2 linked regions of the Macaca mulatta genome follow. The protein of the gene in region 2 purifies or fractionates together with the protein of the main gene of each other region. This does not show direct contact. Links are inferred from orthologs where the notes say so. Each region holds a gene or a part of one and is shown on either strand. Other genes may lie near its edges.

The links.
Region 1: the proteins of MAGOHB (region 2) and PYM1 purify together in Homo sapiens (co-immunoprecipitation; 3 studies listed by BioGRID and IntAct, with this or other methods). This does not show direct contact. The link is inferred for Macaca mulatta from reciprocal best matches to the Homo sapiens genes MAGOHB and PYM1.

The regions. Positions count from the first base shown.
Region 1 is NC_133416.1:63,071,000-63,074,912, reverse strand, and holds the start of PYM1 (partner of Y14 and mago), read left to right. Parts: upstream 1-1,532; 5' UTR 1,533-1,539; coding exon 1,540-1,573; intron 1,574-3,913. UniProt on the Homo sapiens protein: Key regulator of the exon junction complex (EJC), a multiprotein complex that associates immediately upstream of the exon-exon junction on mRNAs and serves as a positional landmark for the intron exon structure of genes and directs post-transcriptional processes in the cytoplasm such as mRNA export, nonsense-mediated mRNA decay (NMD) or translation.
Region 2 is NC_133416.1:9,994,173-9,998,085, forward strand, and holds the start of MAGOHB (protein mago nashi homolog 2), read left to right. Parts: upstream 1-1,225; 5' UTR 1,226-1,275; coding exon 1,276-1,369; intron 1,370-3,913. UniProt on the Homo sapiens protein: Required for pre-mRNA splicing as component of the spliceosome. Plays a redundant role with MAGOH in the exon junction complex and in the nonsense-mediated decay (NMD) pathway.

The sequences.
Region 1 (3,913 bases), about 53 Mb from region 2:
GGAGTGCAGTGGCGCGATCTCGGCTCACTGCAACCTCCGCCTCCTGGGTTCAAGAAATTCTCTGCCTCAGCCTCCCGAGTAGCTGAGATTACAGGCGCCCGCCACCATGCCCGGCTAATATTTTGTATTTTTAGTAGAGACGGGGGTTCACCGTCTTGGCCAGGTTGGTCTTGAACTCCTGACCTCGTGATCCACCCGCCTTGGCCTCCCAAAGTGCTGGGATTACAGGCCTGAGCCACCGTGCCCGGCTTTAGTTTTGTTTTTTAAATGGGACATGCTGCCTAGTGTAAGAGGTAATCACCAATATTTACCTCCTCCCTCCTTCCTGGTTCCAGGGGTACTGCTGGATATTAAACTAAGTCAAAGTGGGGACATATGGAGGAAGGTAAAAGGATTGATAAGGAAAAAGCTATATAAGGGTGGAGCAGGGCAGAGTTGACACCTGAGGAGAAGAACCTGCAGTCGGGCCCCTCCCAGGCTGTAGGGGAAACAAGTTTAACAGAACTTAGCCCTGAAGGAACAACAGTTGCTGAAATGGGCGGCGGAGGAAAGAGCATTTGGGTTCGTCTGAATAGGGAGGTACGGGGCAGGGGAGGACTACAAATGGAGTGACCCTGCGGGACCGGATTATTGACGAGCTGCCCCGCTTTAGATCCTCAGCGGTTGGACGAGTTTAATTAGAATACTAGGTAGGTCCGCCCAGAAGCCTTTACCCTGCCCTCTGACCCTAGGGCCCAATCCAAGGAGGCACTCAGGGTTAGGAGGTCTGGGAGAGAAGCAAGTAGGGCCCTCATCACTTCGCCGCCGAATCTCCGGCGCCGCCCAGCGGGGCAGAGCCAGGCCAGGGCCGCCCGCCCAACCTGGCCAGCTGCCTCTTCAGCCATGGAAGCTGCCGGCAACCCTGCGGCTACGGAGACAGGTGACCGACCCGTGGCGCTCTCCGCCTTGCACGCCCCTCCCGCGGGTCTCTGGAGGTTGAGTGGGGCGGCCGACAGCAATCGGCACGCGAATTCGACCTCCCCACCTTCTTAGAGAGGGTTACATGGGGTCTTCCAACCGTCCCCAGAAACACTTGTGCGCCCCAGTGCGTTCCTGGAGTTTGTCTGCTCCACGTCACCAAGCTGCTCTCAGGTCTGGGTGCAGGCCAAAGCCTGGATAGTCTTCCTTTCTTCATTTATAAGGCCCCCTTTTTGGGTGCAGGTGGGCCCTACGCCCTTTTCCCTCGCAGGTCGTGGACATACGAGGAGTTCCTGGGATGAGAGGGACTGTGCCTCGGAACTTCTCTTGGCTCCCCGAGGACTGTTTTACAGGCAGCAAGCGCTCAATAATGGTATCGGTGGCAGTAAAAGAGCCCACGGCTTTATTTTATTAACTATTTCAGCTTCTCCCCTCTTCCTCCTCCTCCACCTCCGCCCATGAAATGGTGCACTCTCCCTTTAAGACTAAGATGGTGGCTTGCTACGATCGGGACTCCACTTCCGGTGGGGAGGGGGGCGGGACCCCAGCCCGCTCACGCCGGAAGTGGTTTGCGTTTTCAAGATGGCGACTCCCTATGTTACTGACGAGACCGGCGGTGAGTGCGGGAGGCGCGGAGCCGCTTCTCCCCGGGCTCTCGGGGCAGGGGTTCGGACTTGGAAAGGGGTCTGTGCCCCGCCCATCCCGGGGCCCCTCCTTTGCCCCGCCCCCCGGACCGCCTTCCCCATTCATTCTCTCCTGCGGGGTGTCTCCTGCGCCCCCTTCTGGTCTCGTGTTTGGGGGTCTCTGCTTCCGGTCACCCAAACCCTGGGGTCCTTCAGTGCTGGTCCCTGCTTCAGGACCCTCACGGGCCCTTAGCTTTTCTCCAGCAGTTGGAGCACTCATATCTCTTATAGGTTTTTCAGCCTTGGGGACTCCTACACTCTCAGTTCCCTCCAATTCCTGCCCTCCTACTTTTCCCCTCCCCCATCTCAGCTATACTTGCTTTCTGCCCTACCTCAGTCCCATTTTCATTATTTTTCTCGAAGCGGTATTTGCTGAAGACCTTCTCGTTTCTACATAGTACTTTTTCCTCTCCCTTATCTTCATCTGTTGGGTCACTGAGGTTTAGAGGTGTGAAGGGAAGAGGACCCTAATATAACTTTCAGCTTGAGTTTTCTCCCTGATGGAGCCACCCTTCGCTATCTTATCCTGTGATGGTGATAGAAATTGAGGGGTCTAAGGTGGGAAGAGGCAAACAGGAAAGTGTCTAGTGGCTTTTCTCCGAAGCCCTTTGACAAGTGAATAAAACCCACTCTTCCTTCTGGCTAAAGAATTTCCAGCCTGGCTGGTCGAGATGCTGAAGTGTCTGCTGTGTATGTGAGGTGTATGTGTTGGAAACGGAGAATCACAGCTTTTATCTTGGTTTTGTCCCTTCCTAATGACCTCATCTTTAGAAAAATATGCGTAGTAGTAATAGCTACTCAATGATGATCAAATAATATATGTGAAAGCAATTTACAAAATGCTGTGCAAGTGCAAAGTGTTTCTGTTTTTGTAGCCCTCATATGTGTAGTCTGTAGAAGCAACACTGTGCCTGTGCCTTGGTACACACGGTCTGTTTTAAAATGTGCCATTTTGCTTCTTGCTCTGCTGCTTTCCATGTTCCTTACACCTCTTCCACCTGTCTTATGGTACCTGATGACAACCCAGGTTGCTGCTACTTCTCCCCAACCTCACAATTTAAAAGTGGTACTACCTCTTTCCTTCTGTTCTCTACCCAGTAGCTCCTTCATGAATTACCAATTTTTAATGTGTGCTTTGAAAATACTACTTATCCAGTATATTTCTCTTTACTCTTAATCATTTTCTTTACCCTGACTCCGTGAAAATCCAGGTATGACATCTCACCCTACCTTGCCACTAAAAGCTGTTTTCTGTTTTTAGTGACTATGTGGAAGAGAAGAAGGAATAAACTGCTTTTTTGTTTTCCTTTACTATGTCCAGATCGTTGATCTACCACTGTCACTAATCCTCATGGAAGGTATTGCCATGCAATTATAGCAGTTTCTGTAAAACTTTAGTGTCATCATTTACTGCCCACAAGGACCCAGACCTATTGCATATTTTTTTCTCTCCTCTTTTTCTTGCTGTCATTTTCAGTGTCTCCAGCACCATTGGAATACTCTGATCTCATAGTTCCTCAGCATGAGACGGTCGACTTTGCTTTGTATTTTCAAACCAGTTGCACATCAGAATCACTACAACCTGGATCTCATCTAGGACACCACTTTTTCTTCAGGTGCTCCCCATCACTTTAGCCTCCTTATCAGTCACTTATTTCACTATCTTAAACCCTCAGGATCAGCTTTGTGTCCTCAGGTTCTCTGGTTCTTGACCTTTCCATTTCATTGAATCTGTCAGTACCTTATGGCCTTTGGTGCTGCCCAGCTAGACCTCTGTGACCAGCCCCTTTGATAATATCCTCTTGCTTTCTTTATTCATTTTGATTTTCTATACTAAGCAGGCACTTCTGTTATCTCTAATGATGGCTATGATTAGAGATGTTTTCTTGGCTTCTGCTTCTAGGCCACAGCATGTTGCTAGAGAAAAAGTACAGAAGCTATCAGATTCAATATAAGTTAATATAACTTCTGCCAAGATCATGGCTTCTAATCATTCTTTTCTTTTTAAAACAATTTTTTGCTAGGCGCGGTGGCTCACGCCTATAATCCCAGCACTTTGGGAGGCTGAGGTGGGTGGATCAACTGAGGTCAGGAGTTCAAAACCGGCCTGACCAGTATGGTGAAACCCCATCTCTACTATAACTACTAAAATTAGCTGGGTGTGGTGGCGTGGTGGTGTGGGCCTGTCATCTTAGTTACTCGGGAGGTTGAGACAGGACAATCGCTTGAACCCAGGAGGCAGAGATTACAGTGAGCTGAGATCGCGCCACTGC
Region 2 (3,913 bases):
GAATTCTGTGAGCTTGGCAATGTAGATTGCTGTATATGCCTTAGGCTGATGAATAAACAGGCTTAGAGAGTCACTTGCCCGAGGTTAGGTAGCTGTAAGTGTTGGGATTGAATCCCAGGTCTTCTCACCACCACTTTCTACAAAAATCACTGAAGGTTGTCAACCAGCAGAGAGGATTACTCTCTGTGTTGATAACAAAAGGGTGATCAATAATATTTAAAAAGCAGACTTTGTGTAAAAGTCTTTCCCTTACCTTAAAAACTATGCCACAATGGAGCATTCTTTCATTCCTCCAATTTAATTATATCTGGCGAGAAACAGTAATGGGCTAAACCATTGTTGTATCTTAAGTCAAATTGCCAAAACTCCACAGGCTACTAAAAGTTAACCCTTACTGAATGAATTAAGAACCATAGAAGTTCTGCTGTTAAAAAACAGCACGGTGACAGTCAGGGTTTTTCAGGCGTAGGGGGTGTGTGTTTTAAGACTTTAAGCCAGTTTTGTCCCACTGAAATCACCGTCAGTGATTTTTAGTAGAAAGTGGTGGTGAGAAGACCTGGGATTCAATCCCAACACTTACAGCTACCTAACCTCGGGCTAGTGACTATCTCTAAGCCTGTTTGTTCTTCAGCCTAAGGCATATACAGCAATCTACATTGCCAAGCTCACAGAATTCTTGAGAGATCAAATGAGATCTCTTAAGTTCTTTGCTGTGATGGATTCCTTTGACTTTGTCTCTATTATTATAGGCTTATAGGTCCGGGGCAACTACCAATCGTTATTCAAAGGGGAAAGCACCCTGTTAGAAATCAAGTAAGAAAAATGGTTTATATTCCCGGTCTGCCATCTCTATTCTAAGCTTTATCTTTATTTAGCTCCCAGTTAAAGGGGGAATAGAGCCACACCCACCTCACAAACGCCCCGAGGACTGGGAGACCAGAAAAGTAAAAGCCACTTGCAAACCTAATTTAGCTCTAAGTCGATAAAAAATACTATCATATGCTCACATTTCTAATATTTGCTAATATAATGTAATCTTTATTTTGAAAATAATGTGCCTCCAATCCTAGTAAAGAGAAAGTCACGGCATGCGACTCTCCCTTCAGCACCAACTGGCCTCTCACGCGAGACTCGGCTTTCATGCTTTAGTCCAGGACTGCACGGCAGGCGGAAGAGAAGCGCCTGTGGTGACGCACTTATTCCGCGCGATGACGTGACTACAAGGCGCCGGGGGACACGTTGGCTGGGTTTTCGGCGGGCTTCTCGGGGACAAAAATGGCTATGGCTAGCGATTTCTACCTGCGCTACTACGTAGGGCACAAGGGCAAGTTTGGGCACGAGTTTCTGGAGTTCGAATTTCGGCCGGACGGTGAGAAGAGGCCCACGGCACGCGGTGCTGGGAAAGGGGAGCGAGACCGAGAGGCCGTGGAGGAGGCGAGGGGAGGCCGGGTGGTGTGGAGGGTACAGGGGGCGGAGGCCACTGCTTCCCTCGAAGGAAATAGGAGCTTAAGAATAGAGGAGGCCTAAGTTGGTTTTATAAATGAAAGAGAACTAATTGCAATAAATTAAAGCTAATCCTGTCGCAAACTGAAAAGTCGAACTTACAGTAATCAGAATTCTGTAACTGCACCAGAAGGGACTCTGTAGATTGTTGACCTGGATTAAAAATGCTAGCACTTTTTTGAAAACACCCCCATCAGCGGGTGGTCCAATGGATGAATAAAATCTTGTGGTGACCAGTACCTTTTCTTCATTCAGGCTGTGTGTGTTCTTTGAAGGGGAGGAGCCCGACGTGTTAACAAATGAGAATAATAATATGTTTTAGGTGTCTACGTATAATTGTTCACCACAGGACGCATGAAGAGTACCAAAAAAGAGGGGAGATGTAAAGTTCCACAGGAGGGAGTCAGGAAAATCTTCCTAGAGGAAGACACTCTTGAGATGAGTCTCGAAATGAGAGACTTGGCCTTTGAGAGAAAAAAACAGACTTCCAGAGCAGTGAGAGCAGAGGACGAGGTGAAACTGCTACCCCAGTAGCGTGCAACAATTTGTTTTCTGACAGCGCTATTAGAGAATGTTACATTGGTCCTGCCTACCTGCAACAAGAAAGTTCATTTGGATATATATGTTTTGGTTTTTTTTAAATGCACGTTTTTTGCTGGGCAACAAGCAAATACAAAATTTGAAGGTACACTAATGAGTAAGACAAATTTAACTCAAAGAGATTTGTCTTGGTGGGGACACAGACATTTAACTATAAAGCAGTAGGTATATTAATAAGCAGGCTTTGGACAATGTTCTGTGAGAGCAAGAATAAAAAATTAGAGGAGAAACGTATATTAGGAAAGGAGAAGAGTATCAAGCATTTCAGGCAGAACTCACGTGAACTACAGTCCTGCAATTATTACTTTGAAACAGAGTCTCACTCTGTCACTCAGATCTGAGTGCAGTGGCACGATCTCAGCTCACTGCAACCTCCGCCTCCCAAGCTCAAGTGATCCTTCACCTCAGCCTCCCGAGGTGCTGGAAATACAGGCCAGTGCCACCTCGCCCATCTCCTTTGTTGTTGTTGTTGTTGTTGTAGAGATGGGTTTCCGCATGTTGCCCAGGCTGTCCTCAAACCCCTAAGGTCAAGAGATTCACCAGCCTCAGCCGCCCGAAGTCCTGGGATTACACGCATGAGCCACCGTGCCAGCCCTGCAATTATTTAGAAACCTTAATCACTGTATTCGACCTTACTCTCCCCATAAATTCAGCTAAATTTACCTGAATTCATCTATTCTTTATGTAGTATTATTTTCAGTTCCTCTGCCTGTGAACACCGTCAAGCTTGTCTCTATTACTTTTAGCAGGTCACATAAATTAAGCACCTGAATATTATCAGGGAAGTTTTATGCTAGAACAGTGGTTCTAATCAATGTATCTGCCACTGCACTGTTACACATACTTCTTCTATTGGTAATATTGAGTCTCCCGAAGACCTGCCTGCCTGCCTGCCTGCCTGCCTTCCTTCCTTCCTTCCTTCCTTCCTTCCTTCCTTCCTTCCTTCCTTCCTTCCTTCCTTCCTTCCTCTTTCTTTCTCTTTCTTTCTTTCTTTCTTTTTCTTTCTTTCCTTCTTTCTTTCTTTCTTTCTTTCTTTCTTTCTTTCTTTCTTTCTTTCTTTCTTTCTCTTTCTTTTTCTTTTTCTTTTCTTTTTTTCTTTCTTTTCTTTCTTTCTTTTTTTTGAGACAGAGTGTTGCTCTGTCACCCAGGCTGCAGTGCAGTGGTGCGATCTCAGCTCACTGCAACCTCTGCCTCCTGGATTGAAGCGGTTCTCCTGCCTCAGCCTCCCGAGAAGCTGGGATTGGAGGCATGTGCCACCATGCCCGGCTACTTTTTCGTATTTTTAGTAGAGATGGGGTTTCTCCATGTTGGCCAGACTGGTCTCGAACTGCTAACCTCAGGTAGTCCACCTGTCTCGGCCTCCCGAAGTGCTGGGATTACAGGCGTGAGCCACTACGCCTGGTGCCAAGCCATCAAAGACTGGCATTTCTATCATTTTAGAGTAACTGCTGCACATTATAGCTGTGTCTGGGCAACTGACTAGCCATAAGGGGAAGCATACATCAGATAATACACAAATCATGATGGATTAAAATTAAATATAAACTAGCTAACAAACTCATCAACTTCGATCCAGAAGCATCGTTTGTATCCTTCTTAGTCATAATTCTAAAATGTCTACAATATAATTGTATGCATACATTTGAAGGAAAAAAAGGAACATTTTTTTGTAGTGGAGAAAGCCTGAGTATTAAAAGAAAGTAGATCTAGGTCTGAATCTCCCATGTTTAAGTTACTTAACTTTGTTTTCTCTCTTATGAATAGGTGAGAGAATAAAACCTGATTTTTAGGATTGTTTTACAGATTAGAT